Arabidopsis thaliana: one gene and its partners. The protein of the gene in region 2 interacts with the protein of the main gene of each other region in a pairwise test. Each region holds a gene or a part of one and is shown on either strand. Other genes may lie near its edges. The genes, in order: SAM1, FER and SAM-2.

Region 1 (7,731 bases), on a different chromosome or scaffold from region 2:
AATGGAGTGTTCTTTACCTCTACGATGCACGATGAAGGACCTTTAGGAAAGAATCGAACGCTGCCTCTGCATTGGTTAAGTACCAAATGTTAGGCTCAAACAGATAATACATTAGAGTAAGATTGAACCTTTATGATCTCTTGCTTACTTATTAGGAAGACCTTCAAGAGATCTCCAATGGATTTTCTGATTAGGAGTAGGCTGCACAATAAACAACCCAACAAAAAGCCAACAGTTTTACACAATTAGTCTAAGTACCACAGAGGAGCATTGATCTAAAACAGAATGATGGATTCTTGCCTGAAGATTACGAGCAAGCCAAGAATACTTAATGTCTTGACCAAAAGCATTGTATTTGAGTGACCAACGTGATAGATCAGGCTTGTCCTTTAACACCTAACAACAGAACACAAACCGAGTTAAAATCTAAAGCAAGAAGCTTTCAAAGATTGAAACTTTGAGAGATAGATCAAAAAATCAAATCCACCTGGACAGATGAAATAAAAGGCATCCATTTAGGAAAAGATTCACGATCCAAGTAGAAATTATACGCTACTGATACTGGAACATCGACCTCCATCTTTACTCTGTTTTCTCCAAACCAACAAAGATTGAAAACAGAATCATATCAATTTCTACAAATAAAGTGGAATCGAAGCAGAGAAGAGGATAAAGGAGAGATTTTTACGAGCAGTCTTGCCACTCCATGGAAACAGAGAATCGTCGTCTCTTGGGAATGATGAATCTCGATCTGCGACTAACGGAAGAAGAGTAAGAGGAGAAGCCATTTAGGGTTTTTGGAAACAGAGGAATGAGAGAATATGAAAAGGGTTTGCGATCGAAGCAAATCGGTGATTGGATATTTGGGGTTTTACAGGTTTTGGACAAGTGATTGATCGTGTTCATGTTAATTGCTACTACAGACATTGAAGCTTCCTTAGTTTTGTCTTTGGAAGGAAAGATAAGACTAAAAACTTTAGCAACCACAAGAACTCAAATTGCTGAGTGTTACTGATTTGTCCGTATAAAATTAGAAGATAATCATGAATTTAGGGTTTGAATAAAGTGATTAATGAAACCAAAGCAAAAGCGGGGATAGCTCAGTTGGGAGAGCGTCAGACTGAAGATCTGAAGGTCGCGTGTTCGATCCACGCTCACCGCATTTTTTTAATATTGTTTATGTTTTATTCAAAGCCCATTGGATCTTTATTCTCTTTTAAATATGTGTCCATTTAGTGTGTTCTACCGAGCGCGTTTGGCCCGTATGAACGAAAGATCTGCCACAACAACTAAATTATGAAATGATAATGCAGTAGACTTTTACGAAGTGACTAAGTTAAGAATAACAGATTTACAGAATATTATTAAGGTTGATAATATCATCAAATTCTTTGAAACAAATAAGTGACCAAGAACGTGTCAATGCGCAATTCGAATCCTTAAAATAATATTTGTGAAAATAAAATAAAATTTAGCCAAGTTTTTAATCTAATATATGTCAAAACTTTATGATATCACTACAAAACTACAGACCAAAAGGACGAGATGTTCAGTTCGGTTTGACATTTTGGTTTTAAAAAAAACAAGTGGTAAATATTTAACACTTCAACTAAGTGTGGCCAAAAATTCAATTATTTTTTCGGTTGTCCGTCGTTGACCGGATTTGAAATCGTTTGGATTTAAGTGAAGATGAGTCACAACAGAGGATGGAGATCAATCCTACGATGATTGTTTGTTTGCTGAGAAGACGAGAGCATCCGGTCTAAAACGATCGTTCTGTTTAGACAAAACGAGATAATGAAAGATGAAGAATTATTTTGTTATGGTATCGAAGAAGAAGAGAGAATGATAATGGATTTAAATTTCTCAAGGAAGAAGAGAGAATGAGTGATGTTTGGAGGTCTTCATTTATAAGCATTCGCTTCTTCAAAAAAAAAAAGGAAACTTTCGATTGTTTCCTTTTCTTGTTAGGGTTGACAAAAAATAAGAAAATCTGACAACGTTCGAGAGATCTGGACCGTTTAGTTTCATCAGGTTGCAACTGTGAGATATCGGACGGTGATAATCAATTCTAAACGGTAAGTTTGTAAGATTATGCGGGACCGGGACGATCTATTTATTATACACCTCTCTGTTACAAACAAATCAGTCATATGTTTGTGGAGAACGAAAGAAGAGATGAAGATGATGGTTCTGAACCAAGCTGTTTATAAATGGAGATGATGATGTTAACTGGAACAGAGGCAGCAGTAATTGATGATCTAACAGACATTGACATCAGGCAACCAATCCTAGTCTGCGTGTGGGAGATAGAAGCGGCCTGGTTATGAGAATGTTGGAGCAATCAATTGCTTTGGTTAGGGCCAGAGCAATCATGTCATTCATCCTCAATCTTGATTCTGACCACTACATAATCTACAACTCCATGGCTCTGAGGGAAGGTGGTAGTGATGGAATCTTAATGGGCTATTTTTAACTGATTAGAAAATGGTTCTTTTTAATGTATTGGGCCACTTGGCTGAAATGGGCCTTATTGGCTATGTATCATTTTATTTCTGAGACAGACTTTTTGAAAGATAATCCTTTATGGAAAAATTGACTTTTAGAAACACAAGTTTATTTACTTACAAAAATATCCGACAACAATAGTCAATGAGGATGAGCAATTGCGCATGGGTTTTGCACACCATCGAATTTTCTTTATAAACTTAACAAAGAAAACTCTTTTTTCTCAATCACTAATCAGCTTTACTTTTCATTAGAAATCACAAAAAGTAAATAAATAAAAAATTTACTTACTGCGTAACTTATGAAGATATATTATGAGCGAGTTAGAAATACACTACCCACCTCGCCACCCAGTCACCCACTACCAAAAGAGGAGTGGCTACAAACACCTTCTAAGATGTTTGCACTTTTTGTTTCTTTTGTTTTTGAAGGATCTTATATTGTTTGTTTCATTAACAGCTTTTATATATCTGTTTCATGTAAAAGTAAAACAATAAAGTATTGATGACAAATGGTAACTCTAGTCATATATAAAATTATGAAGAATTACACACACACACACAAATAATAAAATGAAGAATATTAAGGATGTTTAGAGATTTTAATCCATTTTAAAGAATAAAGTTAAGATACGGTAGATCAAATGATGTATGTCAAAATCCTTCACCAAACCCCCCAAAGCTCTATATCATTCATTAATCAGCCGTTAAACAAAATAATCCAACGGTCACCATTAAGTCTCACCAATACCCACAATTTTTTTTGTTTGGTCATCACCAACAACCACAATTAAAAGTCTAAAATCTTCACCTACCACAAACCTCTTGCAGAGCATGAAAGTGTGTATTTTCATGTGTGCGAGTGAGTAATGAGTAATGCCTTTGTAGTAATTAAACTATTCTATTCTTTGTTTCTTAGTTGCATTGAAAACGTTTTCCTTATCTCACTTGTATCAAACCAAACGAAACTAAAAAAGACTATTGTTTGATATAATTTTTGATGTGTAACCCGGTCCAACAATTTCATATGGTATTTATTTGAATTTTTATAGTCCTTTTTTCCTAAATTACAGTCTTACAGACACAATTATTTTCTTTGAAATGAAAAATCCGATTGGTTCACGTTATATAACAAGTCGGACCAATCGGTCCCCAATAGTCAGAAAATTTTGAAAATAATGCCAAAAAATAGTAAATATTGGTAGGCCAACTCCAAAGCCAAATACATATATATTTCTTTACAAGTCCAAAGTAGGGTGGTTTAACCAAATAAACCGGTGACCAGTCATTAGTGAACCGTAAAAGGCCTATAAATAACCAACGTGTTCTGACTCACTTTCTCGTCTCAAACCGTTCCTTCTCTTTTAACACTTGTTCTTTTAAGGCAAAAAGGCTCGAGCCACAGAGATCTGAGTTTCTCTTCTTCGAGATCTGATCGCCGAATCTCATAATCTCCCATCGAAGCAGGTATTGTTCTTCGTATTCGCTTCTCGTTTCTCTCTCGATGTATTGTTCATTTTTGTTTTCCAGTTGATTTTCAAGTCTGACGTGCGTATTTTTTCCGATTTGACGATGGAAGTAGATTTAAGGGACTATTGACTGTATCTATGGTTTTTAATTAGATTTCAGCTACTCTTTAACCATTTTGTTATTGGATCAGCAGCGATTTCGTTATAGATTCTCAAAAATATTCTCAGATGTGTGGGATTTGAGTAGAGTTTATGTTGCGTTGGCATGATTTGAATAGTATGCAAGATTTTTGAGATTTTGAATTCGTTCATGTGTGTATGTGTGATTGTAGCTTGATATGATTTAACCTGTTAGTTAAATGTGCATAGACAATAAGTAACATACGAAGCGAGTCACTAAGCATAAGAGTCAACTTGTTTTGCTGAAAAGATATCACTTATGATTTTCGAATCATTTTAGCTTTTTTGTCACTTGAGCTTAATGATTCTTCTGAAATTCGATTCTTTGTTTGGTTTATGTCACATTCTTTAGAATTGAGAATCTAAGAAAAGCTTACAGGATATGGTGAAACTATTCTTTTAAGATAGCATGATGCTTCTTTTATGATTCTACAGTGGCTAAGTCATTTTTTTTTTGTTCTATTCTTTGTAGCAGAATGGAGACTTTTCTATTCACATCTGAGTCTGTAAACGAGGGACACCCAGACAAGCTCTGTGACCAGATCTCTGATGCAGTCCTCGATGCCTGCCTTGAACAAGACCCTGACAGCAAAGTTGCTTGTGAGACATGCACCAAGACCAACATGGTCATGGTCTTTGGTGAGATCACTACCAAGGCTACTGTTGACTACGAGAAGATTGTCCGTGACACCTGTCGCGCCATTGGATTTGTCTCTGATGATGTTGGTCTTGATGCTGACAAATGCAAAGTCCTAGTCAACATTGAGCAACAGAGCCCAGACATTGCTCAAGGAGTTCACGGTCACTTCACCAAATGTCCTGAAGAAATTGGAGCCGGTGACCAAGGGCACATGTTTGGTTATGCCACTGATGAAACCCCTGAGTTAATGCCCCTGAGCCATGTTCTTGCCACCAAGCTCGGTGCTCGCCTAACAGAAGTCAGAAAGAATGGTACTTGCGCCTGGCTAAGACCTGACGGCAAAACCCAAGTCACTGTTGAGTACTACAATGACAAGGGTGCCATGGTCCCAATCCGTGTCCACACAGTCCTCATCTCCACCCAACACGATGAAACTGTGACCAACGACGAAATTGCCCGTGACCTTAAGGAGCATGTCATCAAGCCAGTCATCCCAGAGAAGTACCTAGACGAGAAAACCATCTTCCACTTGAACCCTTCAGGCCGATTCGTCATCGGTGGACCCCATGGAGACGCTGGTCTCACCGGGCGTAAGATCATCATCGACACTTACGGTGGATGGGGAGCTCACGGAGGCGGTGCATTCTCAGGTAAAGACCCAACCAAGGTCGACAGAAGCGGAGCCTACATTGTGAGACAAGCAGCTAAGAGCGTTGTGGCTAACGGGATGGCTCGTAGGGCTCTTGTTCAGGTCTCATACGCCATTGGAGTCCCTGAGCCATTGTCTGTCTTTGTGGACACTTATGAGACTGGATTGATTCCAGACAAGGAGATACTAAAGATTGTGAAGGAGAGCTTCGACTTCAGACCAGGAATGATGACAATTAACCTTGACCTAAAGAGAGGAGGAAACGGAAGGTTCTTGAAAACTGCGGCTTACGGACACTTTGGAAGAGACGACCCTGACTTCACCTGGGAAGTCGTCAAGCCACTCAAGTGGGACAAACCTCAAGCTTAAATTTTACCTACTCTGTTTCTGTCTTCATTCCACAAACCAATTATCTGCTCACTTTTTTATTTCTCTGTTTTTGTGGTTTATTGTGTTTATGTATCATTGTACTTGAGCTATTTCAATTGGGTGTTTGTTTTTATGGCGACTTTTACACGGCTTGGAGTAAGTTTCATGTTGTTCTTATATAATTATAACCATGAAAAATTAATATAAACTAAAGTGTCATGAAATAGTTAAACCTACTGCCAAAAGATGTACACATATACAAAAAAAACATTTGGACTGCAGTAACAGAGTATTTTCTTCCTTTTCAAGTCCCAAGGTCAAAACAGAGTAGCATCGTCATCATCATTTTTGTGATTCTTCTATACATTTTATACTAAAATTCAAAAAGAAAAACTAACCATGTGCATCTCTGCAATTTCATATCTAGTACCAGACAAGAGTTAGGGCAATGTGATCTTTGGCAAATTGTCATGATCCGCTTGATGGCACTTCTTCAAGATTCTCGAACTCTCTTACGATCTGCTTTATATCATCCTCACTAATCCTCCCACTTTCTCTAAGCTTGAACACAATAAACTCTGATTCACTAATCACAAACCAACAACAAGAAAAATCAATCAGTAACCAAAAACAGAATTTCGAATGAAAGAAACAGAGTTGCAAATGTTTACCTCGGGGGCAATTTCATGACAGTAGTACGATCGATTCTCATCTCAGCCAAGTAAAGAAACAGAGTAGCCATTGCAATAGTTGAAAGAAGAAGCCAAAACACTGCGAAGCCTCTCCCTTCAACCGTCTTAAACGTTTTATCTCCGTAACCAACCGTCGTAACGGAGATAACCGACAAGTAAACCGAATCCAACCAATCCAATCTCTCGAAAACGTGAAGAAACAAAGCTCCACTTCCGACGCAGAGACCAACGGCGCAAAACGCTAAACAAAGTTTCCACTTTAACCTTATCTTGCCATCTTCGGCAATGTGATCTCTAATCGCTCTGTTTCTTGTCTTGTTGATTCGATCAAGAATCGCGTTTTCTTGAAGACTTAGAACGTGACTCACGACGCGGTTGAGTAGATAATCAAGAAATACGACGCCGGTTGATACCAAGACGATGGTCAAGATCTTGGTCGTTGAAGTTGACGGGACAATGTCCCCGTAACCGACTGTAGAGAATGTGACGATGGAGAAATAGAAAGCGTCGACGAAAAGATTGGTCTCGGTTCCGGAGAATTGGTCTCGAAAGAATGAGTATGTGCAAACCCCGAAGGTTAAGTAGACCAAGAGGAGGATCATGGCTAGTACAAGAATGGTCCATTTCGATTTTGATACGGTGGTGACTTGAGTTTCTTCCGGTGAGGACTCGTTGGGATGGAGAAGGTTCTCATTGAGAAGGTTCTCTTCTTCCATTTAGAAAACGCTCTTCTTTCTCTTCTTCTTCTTGGTAGCTTCTGAAGAGATTATCAAATTTGAAAGAAAAGGTTTTTTGGTTTTTTGACGACTGAGAATTTTGATGTTCATGATCTTTACGTTGCTTCTCTATCTATCTTCCGGGTTTTGAGTTTTGTTTGGTTAAGAAATTTATCCACAGATCAGGGAAGTAAAACATCTGATTAATGAGGCCCATCAAAGGCCCAAACAATTATCTTTAAATATCGAAATCCAAGTCAGAGCTTTGTATTGGATTAAGGTCCATAGGGATCATGACTACATAAAAGTTGTGCGTAAAACGCTACGTTTTGCGTTTTAAGATGAAACAGAGTTAATGGAAATGGTATCATCTTCCGTACACAATAAGATCTCGCGGGGAATTGGGAATCGCAAGAAGGTAAGTGGCCCCCATGACTACTACTACTACAACGGATATACTACTTTAAATTACTAATTATTTGTTCTTATTTCAAAGTGGTAAAAATATT
Region 2 (7,731 bases):
ATCAGATCTTCTTCTTCGGGTCTAAGAAAACCGTGTGGTAGTAGTGAAGGCAGCTGCAGCAGCAGCAACCATGAAGAGGAAGATGGAAGAAGCTTAACGAAAGAAGGGAACAACACAGAGAACAAGAACGATAGTGCTCGTTACGACGCACTCTTGAATGTTAAAGATGTCAAGGATACAAACTGGCTACTTAACATTGATGATGAATCTCCTCAATCTCTCATCTTCGACAATGCTTTTGACTCTCCTCCTGATCTATTCTCTCCTCTCTGAGACTCTGACTCCTTTTGAGTTTTCTTTCCTGTTTGTTGTAGTTAAAAACAAGAGAGCTGCTTGGAAAAATAATCCTGTTTCACTCTTTTTAAATTCTTATGCAATCAAGAGAAAAACATTACACATAGTTCTTCTACTCGTTGTTTTTTTCTTTCAAAGTGTTTGTTTGTATTGATCAGCAGAAATATACAACTTTGACCCTTCTTGTTTAAATCAAAATATTTGCAAGAAAAGACACTATTGGTAGGATTCCGTTAAAATGCGTCTATATAGTAAAACAGAGAAGTGATTGATGTACTTCCGTTTATGTTCATAAGAGTACGACTTTGTAATAAATGGGTACTAGTTTGTTCATAAGAGTACGACGTGTAATAGAGTAAAGATGCAACAATTACCAAAAACGTTATAGATAACAAACCAAATAGTACATTGACGCGATTCATGTTTAATGTTTTTGTAGAAAGAAGAAAAAAAAATACATTATTTTTTACACTCTCCATCGTGGCATCAAATACACAAATCCAAAATTCTAAATAAATAACAGCAAAGAGAATAATAATAAATAGTTAAGAGGAAAAAAAATATAAAAAAGAGAAACGAACCGGTCTCCTTTGGATGGAGCCGGTTTAGAAAGGTAGTAGTGTTGTACCGTGTTATAAGACTTCTCTAACGTCCCTTTGGATTCATGATCTGAGAAAACACAGCACTTGGAGTGAGTCCATCTGAATCTTCGCTGGCCAAACTCCTACCACCGATGCTCATATCTATTCCACTGCTCCTCGAGTCCGTCACATTCCCTTCATACACATCAGAACTCTTGTCGTTCTTTCCTTTACAGTTTCCATCATCGTACTTAATCTCATCCATGTCCATGTCACCGCATACTCCTTTTCCGTTCTCTTCTGCGCTTTCCTGGAGCTGCAACGCAAATTCTAAGTTCCACAGAACATCTCCCATTGATGGTCTCTCAATGCCCTGGTCTAGAACACACTTCATCGCGGTTTCAGCAAACTTTTTGAAGCATTCTGGTGTGATCTTGCCCTTGAGGTAGGGATCAACGATTTGATCTAGCATGCCTTTCTTGTAGCAGTATGGTGCCCACTCAGCTAAGCTCACTTGTTCCTTTGCAAGTGTTGGGTTCAAGGCTGGACGAGCGCATAGAGCTTCGAATAGAACAACGCCAAAGGAGTAGACATCGGATTTCTCAGTCAGTTGCTGCCGTCTGAAATACTCTGGGTCAAGATAACCGAAACTTCCTTTCACAACTGTGCTTACGTGTGTGTGGTCTAGTGTAGGACCAGTCTTCGATAGACCAAAATCAGAGACCTTGGCCACCCATTTCTCATCCAATAGAATGTTTGTTGTCTTCACATCTCTATGGATGATTGTGTGTTTTGCACCAGTGTGTAGATAGTGTAAACCTCGGGCTGCTCCAATGCATATCTCAAGACGTTGCTTCCATGGAAGAGAAGGATTCTGGGTTTTGTAGAGATGCTCCCTCATTGTACCATGAGCCATGTAATCATAGACTAAGATCATTTCGCAGTTCTCTTCACAGTATCCAATCAAGGACACAAGATGACGATGTCTAAGCTTTGAAAGCATTTCAATCTCAGTCTGGAACTCATGTACACCTTGCTCGGACATTGGGTTGCCTCTCTTGATGGCTACCTTTGTAGTTCCGCCATCAATCTCTCCTCTGTAAACCTTGCCGAAACCACCAACACCAAGCACCCGGGACTCATCAAAGTTTTTAGTGGCAGCTTTGATCTCAGCAAACGAGAAGTGACGGCAAAGATTTGACGGAAGGGACGAGGCATAACTTCCTGTTGTGTTTGTCTTCGCCGAGCCAGCAGAATGTGAGTTTCCATACAGAGATAGTGGAAGCCACCCTGATGTTGCATCACTAGCAGGCTGGTAATCACCACGCTTACGTCTGCGGTAAGCACCAAACACACAAAACCCAATGATAAGGGCCAGAACAACTGCACCACTGGCTGCGCCTGCAATAATAGCCGTATTGCTTTTCGATTTCCTAGTAGTCGGGCGTAGGACTTTAGATGGATCAGCAGTCACCTGTGGACCAGGTATAGGATTGGTACCAGCCAGATTACCATCAGAAGTATTCATCTTGAATATCTCCACTCCATTAAGAAGAGAATCATAATACTCCGGCTTGTTAACTGGGTTAGGATGAAGAGCAAGCCACAAATCTTGCTGTCCATTTCCCTCTGGAGGATTCACCACGTAATCCTTGTGAAACGGAACCCCGTTTGAACTAGTCCAAGCAATCACATCAGCTTCAGGCTCAGCAGTTTGATTGTTGAGGTAGATTGTAAACACCCGTTGGTTGATCTTAGTGATATTCGAAGAAACCTCACAGAAATGAAGTCTAACAAGGTAAGTGAAACCAGAGTCAATGCTGAAAATCCAAGTAAGATTGTAGTTGAGATTGATCTGAGCTGTTGGACCCATAGACCTCGCGGTTGAATAAACATCCACAGGAGCAACATAAGTAGGAGTCCCCGTAGGATACTTAATCGTCATGTTGGGATCAGCAGTCTCTGGAATACCAAGTCCTGCACCAAATATATAAGGCTGATCATCATACCACGACCTATACAAACCCGTATCCGCGGAAGGCGAGATATCATTCCCTCCAACATTGAGCCTATACACATTCTCAAGAGCAGTACTGTTATCAATAGTAACAGAGCCAGATGATCCAACCATAGTCAAAGTCCCATCAGTACTACTATACATATCAGGCATTGAAGTAACCTCAATCCCATTAACAAACGCATACGCATTAGACGGAGCTGATTCCGGTGTAAACGTCATGTTCAACGTTCCACCTTCAACGTTGACAACAAACTCCTTGATGATGAAAGCGTAAGTCAACGCCTCCGCCGTCTGAGAAGCACTGAAATTCTTGAGAAGAGTGTAAGGACCAAAGGAGACGGAGAATAACGAGTTGGTAGCGTTGAGACCGTCGTACGAGTTTGGGTAGAAGTAGAGACGCACGAATTTACGACCTGATGCTACAGGGAAAGTGTAAGTGAAAGGAGATCGGAAAACTCTCGCCGTCATGTAAGGAACTTCGGGAACGGAAGGATCTTGTGTTAACGCTGGTGATGTTTTAGAGTCTTCAGAGGAAGATGATAAGAATTTTGATTTGACATCGGAGATCCATATACGGTTATCTGTGTCGGTTAGATTAGAAGCACCACCACCGCAATTCAATAGGATTTTCTCTGTTGGAGAGTAATCAGCAGCTGAGATTAAAGTTGCTGCAGATATGAGAAGAAGAAGAAGAAGAAGAGAGAGACGGAATCGTCCCTCTGTGATCTTCATCGATCAAGAGCACTTCTCCGGGAAGATCTTCTTCTCAGATCTATCAAACGAAAGAAAATCGAAACTATAAACTTCACAGATCTAAAAATGGAAAGTGCTAGAGGTACATGTTCGTTTGGTTACGAAAATTGAGCTTAAGAAACAGATGAAATTGAAGTTTGAATACAGTAGTAAGGGAGAGTGAAGTGAGGAAGATGATGATGATGATTACATACCTGAAGAATCGGGGAAGAAACCCTAAGCGATGAAATCGGAGAGAGTTTTTGGAGAAGACAGAGATATTTTGGGGGAGAGAGAGAGAAAATCAATTAATGAGTGGAGAGGTAAGTATAGTCAAGACGACGACAAAACGGACAAGCATTGTTGCTTCCCTCTACGCGTTAACGTTATTTTAATTTCAATAAGATTAAATTAAGATATAGTTATCGGGTTTAATTAATTGAAGCCGGCTTGAAGGTGGGTGAAGTGACGATAATGACCTTTGAGTATCAACAGCTGGAATTATATATGTCTTGACCATTCGAAGGATAATGTTGATTGGTATGGTTTGGATGACAGTTCATAAAATGTGAGAGAGTAAATCCATTAAACTAAAGAAAAGACAAGAGAATTTTATGAAACGCGTATTTTTGTGTGCGGTGGTGACTGCTCGTGGCTGAGCTGGTACTCTATATTATACTATAAAGGGAAAGAATGGGGCCTGCTTTGATAATAACTCGTTAGTTAGTTAGGATAGTTTACGTAATCATGGGCTTTTTACTCTGATTTCAGTTTATCTCCTATGGCCCAGTTATAAGTGGGCCTTATCTAACGTGCACATGATATATGTTTATGACAATCGGCGTAGCCTCCTTTTGATCGATCATGTCTAAGGTAAGGAGTAACCTTGATCTCCGATGTCAAATCCAAGTAACCTTGAATACAAATAAACCGTGGTTAAGGCCGAACGTGTGCAATTTTTTTGGTCTACACCTTCTTGATTCAAAACAGAGTTTGTGATCCTTGTTTTCTCAGTCTTTCAAAATAAAATAAAACTTTAAACCATTACATCAAACATGCACTAAATATTTACATTAACATATCATTAATTCTCTTTCAGACAACACATTTTTTTTTGTTTATGCCAATTTTAAATAATAAAAATTACATTTCAAACATACATGTTTCTGCTACTTCGCATTTGGGCACGCATGAGACGAGTCACATACATACACTCTTCCCAGTTCCCACTCTTAACTTTTCTTCACTCTAGGCAAACACAACCACCAAACCTACCAACTCGCTTAAATCGAAGCTTACCAATCACACTTGAAAGCTTCGGAGAATGATTCTTACTTAAACTCATATCCTTACTTGCATTTGTTACACTCAGACTCGCCGCACCAGTTGCAGCTGTTATAACACAAACATCACATTCTGTCACCATGCAATTACCGCCTAAGACCTTGTTTCTTCCATTTACTGCTTGGAATTCAAATTCAACGTGATCAGCCATTATATTTGGTTTGTTTCCCTCACCACCACCTCGATGCATTTCGGCATCCTCATAAAACACAAACATGTGATCCCTTTGAACCTCAGGAGCTTCTCTCGGAGCCCAACACCTAAACACTTTCTCTGCTTTACCAGTGACCACCCTTTTCTTTGTCTTCCATCTGCTTACGCACCTAACGCCAAGCCCAGCGTTGTTGTGACTATCATCCGAAAACGATACTACAACGAAGATAGCAAACCCCAAGAGTGTCTTTCGCAGGGAAGGAGTTATCTCTATCGTTGCAAATGAACCTGCCCGCAAATTATAAGAGGTTGCCTGATCTGCTCCTGCAGGCCCGCAAATGCTGAATGCAAGTGCTTTGATGAGTTCCTGGTCCCAACAAGAAAAAGGAAAATTACATATACGCTAAAGTATGTATGAGTGAGAAAGAAGGGACATGAGAACGAGAGAGTTACCTGCTGATGTTCGTTGCCAATGCTTGCTACTTTAGCCAGGCCTTTTACAACTCGTTTTCTAGCCACTTTTGGAGACTTATTGAAGCAATCGCTGAAGGTGTAATGACTAGGAAACTGCTCAAATCCCCAAGAAACTGACTCTAGAGACACACAACCATGCACGTTCAACAGTTTCAGGCTTTGGGGAAGCGCCGGAAGCAATATGAGGTTTCTACAATGTCTTAATCTAAGGCTATGTAGTTTAGATAACTGCTTTATGCTTTCAGGGATTTTGCTGAAACCATTCCGACCAAGATCCAACAGCACTACTGAAGGCAAGGAACAAATCTCTTCCGGTATATGCATCAAGGATGCATTGAAGAGGGATAAAGATACTAGGGCATAAAATCTTGGGACCAAGCCATGTAAACTTGAAGATGGCAGCCTTGGTCGAGGCAAATATTCTCTACGCTGCTCTGCATTCTCATTGAAAGTCAAGAGAAGATAATTCAAATTACTGATGCCAATTTCTGATATACCATTCTGGATAATTGATGTTGATACTTCTCTTATGGACATCCCAGATGGATCCGTTAGCTTAAGTGTGACAAGAGATTTTAAGTTACTAATCTCCATTGGAAGATGTTGAAGCCTTTTGCAATTCTGTAAATCTAAAACTACAAGTTCTGAGAGATGCTTGATTAACGATGTCACTTCCTGTATAGCGGTGCCAGCAAGATATAACTCTTCCAAGTTTCTTGGGATACCTTGAATATCCTCAAGTTCTGAGCATCCAGAGAGATTTAACACCGCAAGAGAACTCAAGTTACCTATTCCCATTGGTAACTTGTGAAGGCGTTTGCAGTTCTCCAAATCTAATACAACCAGTTCAGAAAGATGCATGAGCGAAGGCAGTTCTTTTATGGCTGTACCACCAAGATATAACTTTCTTAGGTTTTTTGGTATACCCTGAATATCCTCAAGCTCTAAGCATTGAGAAAGATCAAGAACTTTGAGGTTGTCTAGATAAACCATGATTGACAGACTTTGCGAATCAGACGAGACCTCCCGATTCAAGAATTTGTGATCTTTATGATCATAAATAAATGAGTTATCTTGTGGAGAGAAGGTCACAGTTGGTATTGATCTTATGCCAGTTTGTTTGAGATACAGCTCCTCAATATTAGGTGGAACCTCTGGGAAACTTTTGATCTTTATGCAACCAGAGAGATTTATCACCCGAAGATGCTGGAAATGACCTGTTGCTAGAAATCTTTGTAGTCTTGCACAACCTTGGAGATCAATTACCTCCATATTTAGAGCAATTTGGAGTTCTTGAATACCAACTAGCTGTTGTGAATGACAAAGCATGATCCTCTTCAGCATCCCAAGTTCCTGGAAAAACAAATTGTTAAAAAAATAACAACAGAGACGCAAAATAGTAATTGGTTTTCAAATGCATATAGACTTTCTTACCTTGGTTCCTTCCCAAAGTCTCTGAAGTTTACTGTAACACATGTTGAGTATAACAAGATTTCTAGTGTTAAAATCTTGTGGTAAGGATAACAATGGAAAATGTTCCCAGTGCAGTAACCTTAACTCCTCCGGTAGGGATTTGACGCCCTTGGGAAGGTGTAGAGCATAATGGTTTCCAGGATTGGAACTGCAAATCTTCAGATATCTAAGATTATACATATTCTCAAACGCCATAGGATTGACATCAAAGCTTAAGGCAGATGGGTCCAGAAATATGGCTTCAATATCTTCACTACCCTGAAACAACAAGGGAAATAGATGGATCAAGAACTTGGCTCAAATTCCAATATTGAGCTTTGTGGGAAAATAACAGAATTCAACATACCAAAACTTGTCTATCTTCTAGAAAATACTTAATTATCAAAGGTTTCCACAGTCTGGAACGCCTCTTTCCTCCATTGATAATTTTGCGACCTATGGATTGGATCAAATTATGCATCACAACCCTGCCTTCTGCCATACTCACCAAACACTTCTCAACAAGAACATTGATTTCAACACGTGGAAAGAAACCACATCCCTCAAGCAGATGTATTACACAGTCGACATTTTCTCCTCTGAAAAGACACGCAATATCAAGAAATATGTTCTTCTCGTTGGAACTAAGCGAATCATATGTACTCTTGACTGCATCATGAA
Region 3 (7,731 bases), on a different chromosome or scaffold from region 2:
CAGCCATTGATATTAATACTTCTCTATCAGTTGACTTCTTATCAATTCGTTTCCTTTTATGCTAAATGAAATTGTTTTCCTGAAATCTTCTTGTCGTAATAGTTTTGATAACTTTACCTGACAGGTAATACACCATATAGTGATGTTTATCTGCTCATCAGTGGGGCCACAGATGGAAGCATAGGCTTTTGGGATGTAACTAAATGTGTAGAAGCTTTTGTAAAGCAAGTATCTAGCATCCATATTGAGAAGTACATTGATTGTCAGTTACGACCACGGACTGGAAGAGGAAGTCAAGGTGGTAGGAAATGGAAACTGTTAGGCTCCAAAATTTCTAAGAGAGCCCAAGAGAACAGCAACTCAGTTGGTGAAGCTGCAGAAGAAGATCCAGCCTCGTCTTTGGAACTCACAAATGACCATCCTCAGGAAAATGGTAAAAACGAAGATGCAGATTCTCTTCCCGAGACAAGCGAGATAAAGACTTCACATGTTGTGAAGAATGCTCATCAATCTGGAGTTAATTGCCTTCATGTTTCTCGCTCAAACAGTTCTCCGAGTTATGGCAATGGTTTGATGTTCAATGTGATTAGCGGGGGTGATGATCAAGCCCTTCATTGTCTTAGCTTCAACATCCTCAGTAGTAGTAATAATCGAGCCACAATATCTGAAATCATGGATCTAAACCAAACCCCAAGTTACAGAATCATGCTCACAGACCGTGGAGGTATTGCATCAGCTCATAGCTCTGCCATCAAAGGTACTTTACCCCGAAAGCTCTATGTGGAATTCTCAAATCATATAAGTCTCTACTAGGCTGGCTAATCTTCTCTTTCACCATTTCCCTAATGAAAATACTAAAGTCTTGGTTTTGATGCGATGAAGGCGTGTGGATGGACACGAACTGGGTGTTCTCGACAGGTCTTGATCAACGTGTTCGATGTTGGTTTCTCGAAAAAGATGGTAAACTGATCGAGCACGCTCATATAGTCATCAGCGTGCCCGAGCCAGAGGCACTAGATGCTAAAGCCATTGATGAGTAAGTAATATGCACTCATACTTCCATGGTCCATAAAACAAAAACAAAACTTTTATATCTCACATACCAAATCTGTATACTTGATCTATCTGCAGAAACCGATACCAAATAGCTGTTGCGGGACGCGGGATCCAAATGGTTGAATTCTCCGGTTAACAAAAGCTTGGTTCAGAACCCTGTTTTTGATTCCAGTTTTTGAGGTAATTTGTCCTAAGCTACCCTCTGGCTCTGCTAGTATTTATTTACAACAGTGAGACCTGTAATTTTTACCAAACCAATTTTGAGTACTCGGTCAGAGTAAACCGTTTTTGATTCTTGGTTCAGTTTGATCTGAGAACTGAGCTTTTGTCGGTGCTCTACTTTTTTTGTTTTTGGCCGAAGTCGGTGCTCTGCTAAATTCTGGTATGTATCATGTTTCTGAACCCAATTTGATAGTAACGTTATTATTGCTCAAGATTTTGGTTATGGAATTGTGCCAATGTGGGACCTTTATGAGAGAAATATCAACACTTCACATGACCTTATTTAATTCTAATCAACTAATTCGGCTGATTAATAGTAATCAACTTCTTTACAGATTTGATATCATTTGATGTGATCATTAAATTTGTGATACATCCGTCAAAGTTCGATTTATATATATAGTAGATCATATACTATTTCATACATATATAATTGTTTATGAGAATTCGATTTCATTCTACGTTTTTGATAAGATTAATATTGTAACTACAGTATTATGTGACTTTCTTACGAGACGAAAGTTTACTGTTGTTTTTTTGTACTTGTCTCTGTTTTGAATCACTTCTAATAATTGAATCAAGATATTGCCCACTTAATAATCAATCATTTACGTGGTCGGTGACCAGATCTATGATTCTCTTTAAGAAATAAAAAAAAAATCATGTTTATTTCAAATGCATGATCAAGAGAAGGAATAACAAAAAACTCTTCGCATATTCTTCAAAAAATTGTTGGCTGATCAATAAAAGTATTCTTAAATTTGTGTGTTTTAGAATTTAGTTTAAGGATACAAAATCTTCACATCTTTTCACTAATTTTATACACCCAAGAAACACTCATTGATGATATTATTTTAAGATTCACTAACGGTCGACTGTATCGTGCTTCCATACTATATGGTCGCTCTTAATTGAGGTGTCGGTTCAATTGTGATGATTATTATATTCTAACACTACCTAATTATACAAATTCTTAATTTTATTTACAAAATATAAGACACTTGAAGATTTGCATATGGAATAGTAGTCGTGAAATTCAACGTTCTTAATTACTTATTTAAAGTTATCGGATCGGAGACGCCATTTCATGAAACTAACAAATGTCGTAAACTCGTAATAGATATTAGATAGTTCAAGACTGGTAAAAAAAAAAAAAAAATGGAAGTTGAACACAGGTCAAAACTTATATGTACGTGTATTTGTTTTGCATGAGTTTCACATGCATACAAATACAATTTTTTCAACTACCTCCTTCTCATCGCAGTTTCCTCACACGACCTAGAATTTTCGACGATTTTTGGGCTTAAACAATTATTCACTAACACTTAAAGTTGACTGGTAAATCAATTCATTAATTATATTATCCACAAAGCAAGTTGTGAGTTATCCATAAAAACAAATGAAGCATTTATCTTCCAACGGCTCAACTTCCATAAAATTCATGTTCGCAAACCACAAAATCTGTGAAGCACTGTTTATCAAGATGCATACTCACTTACATAATTAATTAGTCGGATAGTTGATTATCCAGCGCTAAATCTAAGTAGGAAAATAAATGTGTTTGCAACAATTATAGTACACGATTTAATCAGCAACATAATTTTTTTGATAAATTCTTGATAAAGTCACTTAATCTTTAACTTTAAACCAACTACGGACTTGCATTCAAAAAAAAAAAAAATTGTTATCCAAATGAAATTAAAATTATCATGGAGGAGTATTTGGTATTTTACAAAGTTAAAACGGAGGAAGACTTTGTATATAATCTCAACTTTTGCTCAAACACAAACTGCACTTTATGTAAACCAGTTTTTTTTGAATAATTTTACATAATATTCAAAAAACAAAAAAAAAACAGAGGAAAATATGATTTTTGTTGGAGACTAAAGTCTTATGAAAAAAGCATCAATTCTAAAAGCTTCCTTTAAATCATGATATAAGTAAAAATTAGAAAATGTAATGTCGTCTTCATTTGATTTTTCTTTACAAAAAAAAACAAATTAGTAACGTTTATCATGCCTTTAACAAAAACACATTGTTCTCCTAAAATAAAGAATGGCTAGGTGCATTACCAACCCCACTACAGCAATACACACGAATCAGCCATTAAGCCGAGCCGAATTAGTCTCACGAAACCTGTACCATTTGTTGAGCTACCGGCACCTCCCGGTTTGTTACATTAATTTTTTCTTTTTGTCAGACATACACTAATTAATTCAGAGATTCGCTCGATTACAAACTTTAATGATAAGTTAGTAGTTTAATCATGGTAGGTTAATTATTGTGGTAATATATAGCGTGATACTTATTGATTTTTCCCTAAATATAGTGTGAAAAGAAAATATGATTGAGTGAGGTAGGTTAAATCTATCGAAATAGTTTAATCAGAGATCCAATGGTCATCATTTTTTCCTCAACAACAAACATAATTATTTATAGGAATGTTTGATAATATGTTCACAGTTCACCTACCAAAACTATGTCATGAAAGTTTATGTTCTACCTTTTAATTGGCCTCACCTTATTATACTAGTCTTTTATTTTCTTTCCAATGATCTTATGATTAGTCTCGTATTCATTTTCCTAACTAATTTTATTTTATTTTTGAAAATGAAATAAGTTCTAATCTTAGTTATATGTCCATCATTAGGCAAGAAGATTCTACATATATATATACTTTACCAACTTTATTGTTTCATATAAATATTTTAAGGTTCTACTTTTCTGTATCATTTTAGACAATGTTTTAGAGAAAAAAAATTGTTTCAGTTTAAGTGATGTTTGCAACTTTTAATGCAACATTTTTTTCCAGCATATTTTATAATTGGTTGAAACAATTTAATTTAATTTAAATTTGGTGTTTTCTTAACTTGTATATAAAAACCTTAAATGTCAATTGAAATGATAGAGAGAGACATTACTATATTATTGTGAAAAAGTATCACTATTTCTAAAGAATTGTTCTAGTAAAAATTGGTATTAGTTAATTTTCAGACCATCATAAAAAAGATGATTTAGATTAGTGACAAAGAATAATCCTTCAAAAATACATATTTCGACACAAGTATACTTGGTATCAAAATCTGTAAAAAAAAAATCAGAGCCATGACCAAATACAATATGTTAAGTTCATGTGACGTGAGATAATAAATTGATTTGATTCACTTTCCAATTGTGTTTATAATTAACGCATTAAAAACACTAAAAAGCAAATAAATAAATGTAGCCGAATAAGCCGATGGAAGTAAGAATTGAAGTCCAAAAGCAAAAACCTATAGATCCGGTGGACAGTCAACAGTGTCATTTAATCCCTATAAATAGCTCACTCCCTTGTCATCCACAAATCGTCCCCGTCTCGTTTCCTTCTTCGCTCGCTGTTCAGATTTTGCTTTGAGGCTTTAGGCTCCCCAGATCTCTAATCGCCGCAGGTTTCGCTCTTCTTCTCCGTCTTATTGATTTCGAGTTTTTAGGCGATGCTTTTACGGGTTTTGTTGTTAAATCTGAAACGAAATGAGATTTTTCTATGGGTTTCGATTCAGATTTGATAATATTCGAACCTTCTACGCCTGTTATTATAATTAGATCTGCGATAGTGTGTGACTATTGAAATGAGATTCTCAAGTTCTTAGGTTATATCGTTTGTGATTTATACAGATTTAAAACGTATGTGGATCCGTTAATTTTCCAGTGCTGTGTAGCAGATCTGCTTAATAGGTTTATCTTTTTTGCAAATGATTTTGATTTTCGCATCGATCGTGTACTCTATGTAGTAGTAGTAGTATATGATTTGATAAATGTAGTAGTAGTAGTATATGATCGTGTACTGAGCCATAAATGAGCCTTCCTCGTTAATTATTGTCCATGAATTGTTAGTTAAGCTTGAAAGTTCCTTAAACGTTTAATTAGATCCTTATCACTGACTGTTCCACTATGAATATCAGAAGAATCGAATCTCTTTGGATGAGATGCGTCTGTTTTTATGCTATTCCACAATGATTTGGAATCTTTCTTAGCTTTTTATGTCACTTGAGTGTGGAATCTTTTTTTTTTGTTCTCTTCCTTTCAATTGTAAAAAGTTTGTTATATGTGTATGATTTTTATGTGGTTGCTGATTCAATTTTTCTTTTTGTTGTTATAGCTTTAAGAAATGGAGACTTTCCTATTCACATCTGAGTCTGTGAACGAAGGACACCCTGACAAGCTTTGCGACCAGATCTCTGATGCAGTCCTTGATGCCTGCCTTGAGCAAGACCCTGATAGCAAAGTTGCTTGTGAGACATGCACCAAGACCAACATGGTCATGGTTTTCGGTGAGATCACCACCAAGGCTACGATTGACTACGAGAAGATTGTCCGTGACACTTGCCGTTCCATTGGATTCATCTCTGACGATGTTGGTCTTGATGCTGACAAATGCAAAGTCCTTGTTAACATTGAACAACAGAGCCCAGACATTGCTCAAGGTGTTCACGGTCACTTCACCAAACGTCCAGAAGACATTGGAGCTGGTGACCAAGGACACATGTTTGGTTATGCCACTGATGAAACCCCTGAGCTCATGCCTTTGAGTCATGTCCTTGCAACCAAGATTGGTGCTCGTCTCACTGAAGTCAGGAAGAATGGAACTTGCCGTTGGTTAAGACCAGATGGCAAGACCCAAGTCACTGTTGAGTACTACAATGACAATGGCGCTATGGTTCCAGTCCGTGTCCACACCGTCCTGATCTCAACCCAGCACGATGAAACCGTTACCAATGACGAGATTGCGCGTGACCTCAAGGAGCATGTGATCAAACCAATCATCCCAGAGAAATACCTTGACGACAAAACCATCTTCCACCTCAACCCATCAGGCCGGTTTGTGATCGGGGGACCACACGGTGATGCTGGTTTAACTGGACGTAAGATCATCATTGACACATACGGAGGATGGGGAGCTCATGGAGGTGGTGCTTTCTCAGGCAAAGACCCAACCAAAGTCGACAGAAGTGGAGCTTACATCGTGAGGCAAGCAGCAAAGAGTGTGGTGGCTAATGGCATGGCTCGCAGGGCTCTTGTCCAGGTCTCATACGCCATTGGAGTACCCGAGCCATTGTCTGTCTTCGTTGACACTTACGGAACAGGGTTGATTCCAGACAAGGAGATCCTGAAGATCGTGAAAGAGACATTCGATTTCAGACCAGGAATGATGACAATCAACTTGGACTTGAAGAGAGGAGGAAATGGAAGGTTTCAGAAAACGGCAGCGTATGGACATTTCGGAAGAGACGACCCTGACTTCACCTGGGAGGTCGTGAAGCCACTCAAGTGGGACAAACCTCAAGCTTAAACTTGATTTTATGTTTCTTCTGTCTTTTTACTTTAAACATCTACCATGGACCAATAATCAAATCCCTCTGTTTCTTTTTTCTTGTATTATTGATATGAAAGTTTCTGGTTTGTTTAAACAACTACCATAGACCAATTTTCTCTTTCACTATAAATTGTAGTAGTTGAAATTTGTGTTCTACATTTTGGGACTTCATGCGATAAAGTGTATATCTATCGAATATTGAAAACTATCTCTGTCAGAAATACGAAAATACACGTATTGTCTTTGAGTACAACACGAAACAACAAATCATCCTCAACAAAAAATGACACTGCTAAATATATTTTAAAAACACAGATCATAATCATACATTTGATCAGTTCAAAGGTAGTGGATATATAGAAGTGGAACCCATTTACATTGCCTTTATGAGATTCTTTGTTGTCGGTTCATAAGATACGTCCGAAAACAACAATATTAATTCAAACTTTAAATTATCTTAAGAGATGATCGAAATAACTATAAAAAGTCAATTCCTACATTTTTCTTCTTCTTTCAAAGCTAAAGTATTCAGCTAAAACATTTAAAGAAAACACTAAAAAGTTTCTTCTCAATTCTCATATGTAGTCATTATCCGAGTAGTATCACTCAACAACTCTCAACTTGTTTTGTTTTAATGATAAATTGATATGCAGAAGCAGAATAACCAATACCAATCTGTGTTAAACTGATTATCTGATTCTATAATCAATCTTACCGGTTTAATAATCATTTTAGACTAAAAAAATTTGTGCATGGACTAGGATTGATGACTTAGTCAATCGACCTTTCTACTGAATCAAGAGACAAAAAGCGTCAGCTTTCTACTGACTGATCTCACAAGTGAAAGATTAGTTTGTCCATATCATTTTTAATTTTCTTAATTATATATCTCACCAAACTCAAATGAATGTCTCAGTCTCTTTGTTCATTGTCATCTCATAAAAAAAGATATACATGAAAATATCTCGACATGTTCATTATTTTGAAAGATAAATAAAGAAAATTGTTACGGACTTTGGAGATTACGTGTCTCGGCCCAAAACCTCTTGATATTAAAAAAATAATAAAAAATAAAATAAAATAAAGAAAATTGTTAACAA

Evidence for each region.
Region 1: the proteins of FER (region 2) and SAM1 interact in a two-hybrid assay, tested with the Arabidopsis thaliana proteins (one study listed by BioGRID).
Region 3: the proteins of FER (region 2) and SAM-2 interact in a two-hybrid assay, tested with the Arabidopsis thaliana proteins (one study listed by BioGRID).

The regions. Positions count from the first base shown.
Region 1 is NC_003070.9:514,405-522,135, forward strand, and holds SAM1 (S-adenosylmethionine synthetase 1), read left to right. Parts: upstream 1-3,686; 5' UTR 3,687-3,974; intron 3,975-4,628; exon of another isoform or gene 4,629-4,631; 5' UTR 4,632-4,632; coding exon 4,633-5,814; 3' UTR 5,815-6,091; downstream 6,092-7,731. Other genes in the region: AT1G02475 (Polyketide cyclase/dehydrase and lipid transport superfamily protein), read right to left, coding at 18-66, 149-201, 301-396, 488-587, 689-927; AT1G02490 (uncharacterized protein), read left to right, coding at 2,214-2,330; TPK4 (Outward rectifying potassium channel protein), read right to left, coding at 6,283-6,400, 6,486-7,222. UniProt on the Arabidopsis thaliana protein: Catalyzes the formation of S-adenosylmethionine from methionine and ATP. The reaction comprises two steps that are both catalyzed by the same enzyme: formation of S-adenosylmethionine (AdoMet) and triphosphate, and subsequent hydrolysis of the triphosphate.
Region 2 is NC_003074.8:19,116,938-19,124,668, forward strand, and holds FER (Malectin/receptor-like protein kinase family protein), read right to left. Parts: upstream 4,013-7,731; 5' UTR 3,843-4,012; intron 3,668-3,842; 5' UTR 3,628-3,667; coding exon 940-3,627; 3' UTR 647-939; downstream 1-646. Other genes in the region: AT3G51540 (mucin-5AC-like protein), read left to right, coding at 1-273; AT3G51560 (Disease resistance protein (TIR-NBS-LRR class) family), read right to left, coding at 4,871-5,491, 5,578-6,951, 7,033-7,329, 7,418-7,731. UniProt on the Arabidopsis thaliana protein: Receptor-like protein kinase that mediates the female control of male gamete delivery during fertilization, including growth cessation of compatible pollen tubes ensuring a reproductive isolation barriers, by regulating MLO7 subcellular polarization upon pollen tube perception in the female gametophyte synergids.
Region 3 is NC_003075.7:795,174-802,904, reverse strand, and holds SAM-2 (S-adenosylmethionine synthetase 2), read left to right. Parts: upstream 1-4,523; 5' UTR 4,524-4,706; intron 4,707-5,416; 5' UTR 5,417-5,425; coding exon 5,426-6,607; 3' UTR 6,608-6,919; downstream 6,920-7,731. Other genes in the region: AT4G01860 (Transducin family protein / WD-40 repeat family protein), read left to right, coding at 125-757, 883-1,036, 1,132-1,192. UniProt on the Arabidopsis thaliana protein: Catalyzes the formation of S-adenosylmethionine from methionine and ATP. The reaction comprises two steps that are both catalyzed by the same enzyme: formation of S-adenosylmethionine (AdoMet) and triphosphate, and subsequent hydrolysis of the triphosphate.